Danio rerio: one gene and its partners. The protein of the gene in region 2 interacts with the protein of the main gene of each other region in a biochemical or structural test. Links are inferred from orthologs where the notes say so. Each region holds a gene or a part of one and is shown on either strand. Other genes may lie near its edges. The genes, in order: cdc7, mcm4 and mcmbp.

Region 1 (3,659 bases), on a different chromosome or scaffold from region 2:
GAGCAGATGAAAACATCCCCAACAGCACACAAGGGTTAATCTACTATTGGTGTCCTAAACCTTTTTATTAAATTGTTGAGAGAAAATGACATGCCTTAGTGCAGTGGTCACCAAACTTGTTACTGGAGGGCCGGTGTCCTGCAGATTTCAGCTACAACCCAAATCAAACACACCTGAACAAGCTAATCAAGGTCTTGCTAGGTATACTTGAAACATCCAGGCAGGTTTGTTGAGGCAAGTTGGAGCTAAACCCTGCAGGGATACCAGCCCTCCAGGACCGAGATTGGTGACCCCTGCATTCCAGAGTTTATCATCAGAGACAGTGACCCAACTTGGAGCAAGTCACATGCTTTGTCTATCTGTGCTTTAATTAAAGAATGTCATCATAGCTTTATATAAACGATGTAACAAAGTTGACCAGAACGTAGGGACAGACCATGGGCCCGTCTTCGTACCTCGCTTAAATGATCTTGGATGATTTGTCACTTTTAATCATGATACCTGATCTCTGGCTGATTTGGTTCTTCAAACAACTTCACGAAACATTAAAATGTCTGGATTAACTGATCGGAGATCGGTACACTTGTTGTGATGGACTGATCTATCGATCCTCAAAATCATGACCAACGATTGGCTTATGGCACAGCACCATAATGACATCATCTGAGTAATATTCAATTATCCATGTGAGAAAAATTGCATAAACTTCGTAATAAATGGTTTGATAAATATGATAGGCAATAGCTATACGCTTTTGTTGTTGGTTGTAGGTTTTGAACTTTGAATGTAAAACTAAATAAATTGCTAAATACTCTTAACTCAGAGCTAATTTTCTTTATTATAGTATAATAGAATTTAAGTTTCTCAATTGGTGTAAAGAATTTAAATTAATTTTGCATCAAGCATTTTGATTTCGGGTGTCTGCAACTTTTACGAAGCATCAAATCACCATCATATTATCTGTCAAAACGTGCATGACTGCATACATTATTATTTCTTAAAATAAAAAAAAATTAACTAAAAATTTTTTTATAAAATAAACAGTTGAATGATGTGCATGTCTATTAATATACACAAAGCTGGGTCGGTACATTAAAATAGTATTGGTTTATATCTAAAAAGTCCATATTAATAAATGCTCTTTTTGAACCCCTTGGGAAGAACCACACCTTTTTTGTACATATATTTTGGAGTGCAAATAAGTTTTATTTCTATATTTTATTAAACTTGTATGTATACAAGCATAAATATTATTAATTACTTAATATTAAATTTTATTAATTGTTATAAATGTATATATATATATATATATATATATATATAGAGAGAGAGAGAGAGAGAGAGAGAGAGAGAGAGAGAGAGAGAGAGAGAGAGAGAGAGAGAGAGAGAGAGAGAGAGAGACAATAACAAGCTGCGAATAAGAAGCTGGATTCAGAACAGCTTCTGCTGTTCTGACGTCAGCTGCAGATGTAAATAAATGGTGGAAGATAGTAGTTCCTAATACAATAGGGTTTTAGACTCTCTGTGTTTGATTTTCTTTTTTATGTACAAGATTGTGCCATCAAACTGTTGTATAAACGCATTATCACACTAGTAGCAGTGTGCTATGGCTGTATATCAGCACTGGTGGGGCACAAAGCACGCCTCCCACCAGTGCTGATATTGACCTTATTCTAAAATGCAGAAGTGCGCCTGTTATCGCGATTGTCTTAGAACTTCCGATTCAGTCGCCTATGGGAGAAATGACTAGGAATAATAAACAGCAGAAAATGGTCAAACTACTTGCTCTACAAACAAATATTTGCATGACTATACAGACCAAATAGAATAATATAATAAAAAAAATCTAATTGCAACATCTAGCAGCATAACGAGCAGTTTTTAACGTTAAAAAAATAAATGGAAGTGAATGAGACCGGAAGTCTAGAGCCAAAAAGATTCAAATGGCAGCACCCACTCGTCGGCGGAGAATAAGGTGAATACAGCCATAGCACACTGGTACTAGTGTGATATTTCTCACATATACACACACACACACACACACACACACATGTATAAAACTTTTTTTCTTATTTTACTTATTTCCCAAGTTTATATAACCTATAGGTTACTACTGTAAGAAAACGTCAATTATACCTGCAATTGTAGAATGACCATTATAAATTTCAAATGGACGTGTATAAAGTACACAACAGTGTTTTCACTAGGATTTTTTTACAGCTGTGGTGGCAGGCCTTTTTTTTTTTTTTTTTTTTACACAGATCTGCTAACTACCTGTTGCGTTATTTCAATGACAAATGTCGTGAGCGCAGTATTACAAGTTGAGATCGGATTTATGTAATAGCCTACGAGCATGTGAAACTCTTTGCTTGCGCGCCGATTTCCTCTGCTAGTGCACAAAACTTCTTGCACATCCTTAAATATACGCTGCTCAAGCGCAGATCTTCTTGTGCGCGCTCAAATAAATGCTGCTGGGTGCGATTTAGTGCGTTTATGTAACGAGTATGTCTCCAACATTTATTAGATTTGCTAGGAATATTATTGAATGTCTCCAATAGACCTACAGAGCGGTATTAATGCGCCCTGAAGTAAAGTTAAACTAGTATACGTTGTAATTGCTGGCCTCACGCATCTGTCAGTCAGCACATAACCTTAAAGGGTTAAACAAATAACGCACAGTACTACTACGGTTACAGAAAAGTTTGCCCCGTTATAATTCACTTACCTTTTAATACGTTTTGGTACGATTATCACCCGCTATTAAAAAAAACAGAACTGAATAATATGAATAAAAAGTTGTAATGTAGCCATGGCGGGATCAATTTTGGTGTGGCGGAAACCATGAACAAGTTTTAAAAAAAGACAGAACTGTACCAACTGTTAAAGAGATAGTATTTTCTATACAGTGAGCTGGAATACTGAATCACATCCAAAATAATAATAATAATAATAGCATTGCTTTTGTTAGCTTTACCTGTTCCCTGGTTGGGACACTTGGTTAGAACCTCAGGAGCCCTAAACCCAGGGGTACCAGCCCTCGGAGCCACCTGCTGTTTCCTGTGAAAAAAATAACCACACTATTAAATTAAAACCATCAAATAGAATGTTTTTATTGAGAAATGCAAAAAAAAAAAAATTCCTGAAAAGGCTGATGTAGCTTATTAAACACTCAAAATGTAACTAATCACTAGTCACTATCACTAGTTCACTATTAACAATAAATCTGATAGCAGTTCATGACAAATGTGGGTGTTTTTAGAATTGGGCTAAAACAGAGTATAGATGCATGTAGTAGACTGTGTAGTGTTGATCTTTCTTTTTTCTTCACCGTAGACATGCCACAGTAGGCTTTTTAAGGTTTGGATTGATGTATAGATGACGAGTGTGTACCTGGACAGGCAGATGTTGCAGACGCGGTCAGTCATGTAGCAGTTGCAGGTGAGTAGGGGGTTGACGGCAGCAGGTTTAGGTTTCTGACTCTCAGCCGGAAGTTTCTGTTTCTGATTTAATGGTGCTCTGACAGGGACGGAGCGATGTTTGGCAGAAACAATCTTGCGTGGAATTACTTCCTCCTTTTTGGGCTTTGAAAGCAATCCCTAAAACACAATGTGACAGGTGAAGAGCTGATAGTTATTCAGACGGCATCGCATGCAACCAGT
Region 2 (3,659 bases):
TCAAAAAGTAAGACTTACTGAATCTGAGACTATTTATAGGCCTTTTGTTCATGAATTCTGACTCATTAAAGTCCATGTAATGATAACTACAAAAACATTTATTAATCTTAGGTGATGTTAATTTGTAGTTAATGCTTAATTTATTGAAATGCTTTCATTTTCTTTATTTCTTTTTTTCAATTTCTCATTGCATCCTGGCCAAATCTGCCCACTGGCCTCTGTCTATCATGGCCTTCTAACCATCCTCATATCATAATGGGTTCATGGTCTCCTCTCCACCAATCAGCTGGTGTGTGGTCTGGCACAATATGGCTGCCATCACGTCATCCTGATGGATGCTCCACACTGGTGGTGGATGAGGAGACCCCGCCCCCCAATGTGTAAAGCGCTTTGAGTGTCCAGAAAAGCGCTATATAAATGTATAGAATTATTATTATTATTATTATTTAAATCTAACGTCGAAATTGCTTCATTAAATGTGATAAACAGACTTATTTGGTTGTATTTTTTGCGAACGTTGACATAACTATAATAGGCGACGCAGTGGCGCAGTAGGTAGTGCTGTAGGTAGTTCTGTGTGGAGTTTGCATGTTCTCCCTGCGTTTGCGCGGGTTTCCTCTGGGTGCTCCGGTTTCCCCCACAGTCCAAAGACATGCGCTATAGGTAAATTGAGTAGGCTAAATTGTCTGTAGTGTATAGTGTGTGTAAATGAGTGTGTATGGATGTGTCCCAGAGATGGGTTGCAGCTGGAAGGGCATCCGCTCCATAAAACATGTGCTGGATAAGTTGGCGGTTCATTCCGCTGTGGCGACCACTGATTAATAAAGTGACTAAGCCAAAAAGAAAATGAACGAATGAATAACTATATTGCATTTTCTCATTCTTGATTTTAACGAATTATTTTAACGGTTTATGAAAGAGAATTTATTGTAAAGTGTTACCTATTTTACTTTATCATCCTTTTGCAATTTAATGTGTTTAAAACATTTATTTTATCTCAACATGTGTATATATAATAAAGCATTTTTGTAACTATACTTGTTAAATTACTGCAGCTTGGGTCAATACTGTGATGAAACGTATATAGTTAAAAAACTAAGGTAATCAGATACGTATAAGCCTATGCACCTTAGCAATAGAGAGCGTCTGCTGCTCCATGACCTCGTGCAGCACAGATCTGGTGTTGTCGCTCATCTTGTCGAACTCGTCGATGCAGCAGATGCCATTATCGCTGAGCACGAGCGCTCCGGTCTGCAGGACCAGCTGTCGGGTTTCAGGATCCTTCATCACGTAGGCTGTGAGACCAACGGCGCTGGATCCTTTCCCGGACGTGTACTGACCGCGAGGAACCAGGTTGTACACGTACTGCAGCAGCTGGGATTTACTGGTGCCCGGATCACCACACAGCAGGATGTTGACTTCAGCACGGAAGTTTCCTCGGCCCGTCTGAGTGAAGTCCTTACGCGTCCCGCCAAATAACTGCAACAGGATGCCCTGGAAAACATCAACACCATCAACTTGTGTCCTGACAGCATATTCCTTGATGTAAAGGTCTCGTGAAGTGCTTTAAAATGTGCATTTTTATTCGATGACTGACGTAATCTCAATCAACACATGAAGACGGAGTGGGACAAGTTCGCAAGTGGAGGAGCAATTCAATTACACTCAAAACAACTTCATCAATTTAGAGTTTCCCATCATACTGACCTTCTTGATGTCCTCGTGTTCGTAGATGCTGGGAGCCAGAGCAGAGGACAGGCGCTCATAGACGTCAGGTTTAGCGGCTAGCTCTTTTAGCAGAGCGACTCGTTCTTTAGTGAAGAGTTTCTGCTCTCCGTCCTCGTCCAGTCCATGCAGACGCTTCTCGTCAGTCTTGCGGAAGTGAATGGCGTCAATGTGGGTCTTGTAAACAGACTTCACCTGGCTCTGCCGTGGGTTCAGACGCATCGGGGCAGCTCTGTAGATGCCTGAGCACAATAAAAGAAGAGTTGCTCAGTCATTTTGCCAAACGAAAGACAAAAACATGAGTGTAAAAAAATACAAAAAAAATGTACCAAAAAAAAAAAAAAAAAAACAGCCTATGCCGGTTCTTATAAAGGATTCAGTCAGTGTTTTCATTTTGTAACCTAAGCCCCCGTTTACACTGCCAGTTAAATGTGACCCAATTCCGATTTTTTGCTCATATGTGACGCAGATCGGATCTGTTCTACGACTGAGTAAACACAAAAAAAAAAAAAAAGGCATGCATTCGGATGTTCAGAGATCGGTTTCAGGCCTCCTTCGCATTGGGAAATAAATCAGATTTAGATCGGATATGTGACAATGCGACTGTCATGTAAACAGGCAGATCGGATTTATTGAGGCATTCCGTTCTGTACATCATTAAACTTGCGACAATGTGGTGCTTCTCCGCAGTTTAATGACAGAAAGAAGAGCGTGTGTGGAGATGCAGACGCGGTAAACAACATCAGAGGAAACACAGAGGAGGAAGTGGTCAGTCGACACCATTTGCTCCCAGCAGACCCGAGATCTCTCTCGTACCCACACATTCCTCTGAATGGTGGAGGACATCATAAAGCATATAAACCATAAGCGCAAGCTGCGATGACGGCCCTTTTCCTCCTCCACCACAAAATCATTTTAAAGTTGGGCGAACTTCGTGTTGTAACTTTTGCTTTTTGTCACTATTAATACACATAGAACAACTTTATTCTCTCTAACACCAGTGCGCACACAGGCAAAGGCTACATATTTAACTACACACACACACATCAGTGCCATACCATTATTACTACGTGGGGGTAAATCTGGACTAAACCATTCACTGCTTATACTACACTTCGCAGAGCTAAAAACAAGACAATTTCTTCCATCGTGGCTAGTGTGGCATAGATGCTAGAACCCGGCTTTATGCATGCGCGACAACATAAATTGTATGGCAAGTGTAAACGAGTGAATTGGATATGGGTCACAATTAAAACAACGTGTAAACAGACAGGCAAACAAATCAGATATAGGCAACAAATTGGAATTGGGCATCAAGACCAAACAGTGTAAACGGCGCCTAAATTAATAATTTAATTGAAAAAATTGTTAGGGCAGGCCTATTTATTTTATTCATTTAATTTAGTTTATTCTGTTTTTCTATGCTGTTGGAAATACTGCAGGTGTGTGAAGATACTCTGTTGTTATGTTCGCATGTTAAAATAAATCAGTGTTTAAAATGCAATATTTAATGTGTCAGACACAACAGAGACGTCAAATTTTTTTAAACTAAATGCTAATTTAATATTAATATGACCAGTTAACAGGTAATATTTGATTAATGAGCGGCGGTTGTCGGTAAGCAAAATTAACCAAAATGAGCATCCCTACTTCACAGGGGCGTAAATCCCAGGGGGAAAAGGGGGGACATGTCCGTTCCTATCCGAGGCTTGTAATTCTCCATAAATCTGCTGCATTAACGATTGAAATTACTTATTTGGGGTGTCAAAATTAATTGTTTCTTCGGTGCACCGCGATGCAGACGCGGACAATAAGGTATCGGTTCCGTAATAATCATAACCGGTTATTATGTACTGATGTCACGTCATTGATCTCCTATGCGCTCTGTCACGAGGGAGGTGAGCGCGAGTATTTTTAACACTCAGCCAACTCAG
Region 3 (3,759 bases), on a different chromosome or scaffold from region 2:
AAAAATCGACTTCACCAGTGTCTAAGTTTTCCCAAAGGTTTAAAATGTAGTAAAAAAAACGAACTTTACAAGAGTTTTTTTTGCCATATGAAAACATTACTTTTTAATCCAAAATAATAAGTATGGTATCTGTTTAGGTAGTTGTAAATAGCAATATATTTTAAGGCTCGTTTCCGTTCACACATTTCTGCTGTTGTGTCCGACTAATCCTCAAGGCCTCGAGCTGCTTGGCTTTCATCCAGCCGTCTCTAGAAAGTGTGTTCTGTCCATGACTCAATGAGAGCAACCTGAAAACAAACGTAAATAAGAATTGAACTTATTTGTTCAGCAGAAAAGCAGCAACTCATCATGCATAACATGCTGTGACAGTGCAATGCTACAATTAATATCAAGCAAAACATGCATGTTGCATATATTCCCCTAAGAGACACTTCCAGAGCCACAGTTCACATTTGATTAGAACAAATGACTTCAGACTTGATATTAAAAATAAGGTTTATAGTGAATGGCAGCACAGTTCTGCTTTTGTTTTTTTTATAAAGGTGTTCTGAATACTGCTAAATAGAAAGTATTTGTAATGAAGTTAGTGGAGCTAAAATACTTTTAGAAATAGGTTTATAAGTTTATTTGCTGAATATCATTAAATACAGAAAGCATAAAAAGCTGATGTCACTAAAGCTGAATGCACAGATCCAAAATTACATGTTTTTAAATGGTTCACGTATCAAGCAATAAGTGAACTTATATCCAATTTCCCAATGAATCCCATGCACACCTAACCGTGAGAAACTGCATGCATGTCAGATCAACGATCACAGCTTAACACTGCACATCCTGCTAAGTAAATTGATGATACATTGTGCTTTCTTCAAAGGCATTGCTCACCCAAAATGGAGAGTGACCTCATTATTTACTCTCACTCTTGGTTTTAAACCTTTAGTTTCTTTATTTTGTTGAACACAAAAAATATATTTTGAAGAACGCTGGCTGTTTGGACTTGTATTCAGACTCAGTGTATGAATTCAAATTAACTGTTGATATCAACAGTTATAAATATCAACAATTTAATTGATGATTATATCATTAGAAAAACTGTTGATATCAACTATTGAATTGTTGATATCAGAAATTGCATTTCCTGTTAAGTTAGCCATTTTTACTTTTATTGCTTAACAGGGTATAAATTCTTGATATTAAGCATTAAATTGTTGATCTCAACAATCAGCATTTTTGATATCAAGAAATTTATTTTCTGCGAATGCTGACATTGTTATGAGTTGAAATGCAATTCTTTGTCAACAATCTGCATTTTTTAAATCAAAAATGTAATTCTTGATATCGAGACTTGATAAATTCATATTCTATTCAGATATCATATATTTCAGCATGTTACTTCTGAAATCTATAAATGTGATTAAAAGAGTAGTTTCTGATATCTACAATTACTTGTTTTAATAGTATTAATTCACAGTGTCAGAAATTAACATGGTCATAAACTTACATTTTTGAAATCATATTCTGGGAATGAATAAAGATGCTTTCACACTCTTGGTTTAATTGCCTGGTCCGAACCAAAGTTTGATTGTCCTCCTTTGTCAACTTCTTGGCTTGTTTGTGTTCACACATCTTTTTTTTCTTTCTGATCCCTGGTACGTTTGCGTCTTTGTGATGTGCTTGTGTGTACAGTGGTTGACAGCTACGAAAGCCAAGGCGACAAAACGGAAAGAACATTTGTTCTGCTTTTACTAAATCTTTTGGTTTTGGACATACAGACAGGAACTCGCAACTATCTGCCGCAAAAATATTAAAAACGTTCAGAACATAACGCAATGTCTGCAGAAGTTGTTTTTGGAGAAGACAAGCTGATATTATCACTGTGACAAGTAGGCCTGAGCCAGGGCGAACACAAAGGAAACGTTAGGTTGTACACTGACATACACACACACGAATGAACATTATGAAAACTAAAGTTTGTTGTACAGTTGGCGCTTCACTTCCGTTATTTGGTATTAAATTCATATCAGAATTGGACCAGAGTTCACACGAACAATATGCTAGACAACCTCTTTCAGGCAGACTCGCGTGCAGTTCATAAGGACACCTGAGTTCAGATGACTGTTCACACTAGCTAAACGTACCGTACTCTGACGTCAAGCGAACCCATGTGCGGTCCAAAAGTGCTAGTGTGAAAGCACCCTAAAGGCTCCTACACACCGGGACGTTTTTTGTTTGTGTTTATCGTCAGCGTTTTACGAGACGTTTTTCAGTGGCGTCAAGCAGAAGAGTATGCTAAATCACTAGGGATGTAACGGTATCAGAATTTCACGGTACGGTAATACCTCGGTATGAATGTCACGGTACGGTATTTATTGAATCATTTACAGGAAAAAACAAAACTTATGAAAATACTCCAAAAAAGTGCCAAAAGTGTCAATGACATACAAATTAGCCATCTATCTGTAAGCTTTGAAACAGGAACTTCAATTTTAATAACAAAAAAATATTAAACCATGTAAAAAAATTAAGTTTCAATTTAGTATTGTTGAAAACTCATCACATTCAACATTTAATCACTCACTCACTTAGATAGAGATGGGTTTAAAGGAAAATTATCATATAAATATAATCTGGTAAAAGCTGGTATCTCTGGGTATTTACAATGTCCCCTGCAACAGAAAAAAAAACTCTCATTTGGGACTGAGGTTTCTGGGACAAGAGAGATATGACGCGACGCGACAACACAGCTGATAAGAACTCGCGCGACAACACTGCTATTCAGTACGCGCGCGACAACACCGCTATTCAGAACGCGCGCGGCGACAACACCCGCTTTAGAGTTTTACAGCTCTTTTTCATCCCCGCTTCTAGCAGCACACTCCATTTCCGCATTACTGGATCTGTAGCGACAACAGACCGCAAGGGATGATGGTCAAGCATGGGCTGATGGGAATTGTAGTCCCGTTCGCTTCATTCGCCTGAGCAAATTTTCTCAGAAGACCTATAGTTTTACCGAGTCATGCGACTTCGGTAATATCGAAAAAAATTAATATTGCGGTATGACGGTATTTACAATACCGTTACATCCCTATAAATCACTCTTTTGACGTTGGCGCTGCGCAACTATAAGCTTCTGACACCCGCTTATAACAGAAGAAGTGGAGGAGCAGAAGTTCACAGTCACACGCATGTTGTTAAATTTACTGGTGACTCGAACAAGCATGGATGGTTCAAGCAGCAGCTCCAGCGATGAAGAAATGATTAGTGTTCACAGAGCAATAAGCAGCTCCACGTTCATATCGCCTCTGGGCATCTTCTTCATTGTGCGTTTGCATTGACAGTTTTGAGCTTGAGCGCCTCCAAGTGCTGTTTACGATAACTTCAGCAGCTCCATGCACGTGAACAAAAGTGCCGATCTGATTGGCAGAGAAGGTTTTGACGCCGCGCGTCAAAACAAAAAAACAAGCATGAGGCATTTTTTTAAAAATGACACTTTTGCGCCTGGCGTTTTGCGCGCTGGTGTGCACAATCAAATTGACAGGCTTTATTTAGTCACGAGGCGTTAAACGTTGACAGAAAACGTGAGCAAAAAATGTCTCGGTGTGAACGGGCCTTTAAAGGGCAATGACACACCCCACTTTCGGTTAAAGTCTACTTCAGAATTTTTTCAAAAGAAGCATGATTAATGGGCATGGAGCTCTGCGAGCATCGGGCAGGAGTGGGCGTAGCCAGCAGGGGAGAACGTGAACGAACAACTGTTGT

What was found.
Region 1: of the proteins of mcm4 (region 2) and cdc7, one has a biochemical effect on the other in vitro, tested with the Homo sapiens proteins (2 studies listed by BioGRID). The link is inferred for Danio rerio from reciprocal best matches to the Homo sapiens genes MCM4 and CDC7.
Region 3: the proteins of mcm4 (region 2) and mcmbp form a complex in vitro, tested with the Homo sapiens proteins (2 studies listed by BioGRID). The link is inferred for Danio rerio from reciprocal best matches to the Homo sapiens genes MCM4 and MCMBP.

Annotation. Positions count from the first base shown.
Region 1 is NC_133177.1:11,292,897-11,296,555, forward strand, and holds part of cdc7 (cell division cycle 7-related protein kinase), read right to left. Parts: intron 3,597-3,659; coding exon 3,391-3,596; intron 3,058-3,390; coding exon 2,975-3,057; intron 1-2,974. UniProt on the Homo sapiens protein: Kinase involved in initiation of DNA replication. Phosphorylates critical substrates that regulate the G1/S phase transition and initiation of DNA replication, such as MCM proteins and CLASPIN.
Region 2 is NC_133199.1:39,260,919-39,264,577, forward strand, and holds part of mcm4 (DNA replication licensing factor MCM4), read right to left. Parts: intron 1,968-3,659; coding exon 1,708-1,967; intron 1,495-1,707; coding exon 1,129-1,494; intron 1-1,128. UniProt on the Homo sapiens protein: Acts as a component of the MCM2-7 complex (MCM complex) which is the replicative helicase essential for 'once per cell cycle' DNA replication initiation and elongation in eukaryotic cells.
Region 3 is NC_133188.1:28,753,122-28,756,880, forward strand, and holds part of mcmbp (mini-chromosome maintenance complex-binding protein), read right to left. Parts: intron 288-3,759; coding exon 161-287; 3' UTR 1-160. UniProt on the Homo sapiens protein: Associated component of the MCM complex that acts as a regulator of DNA replication.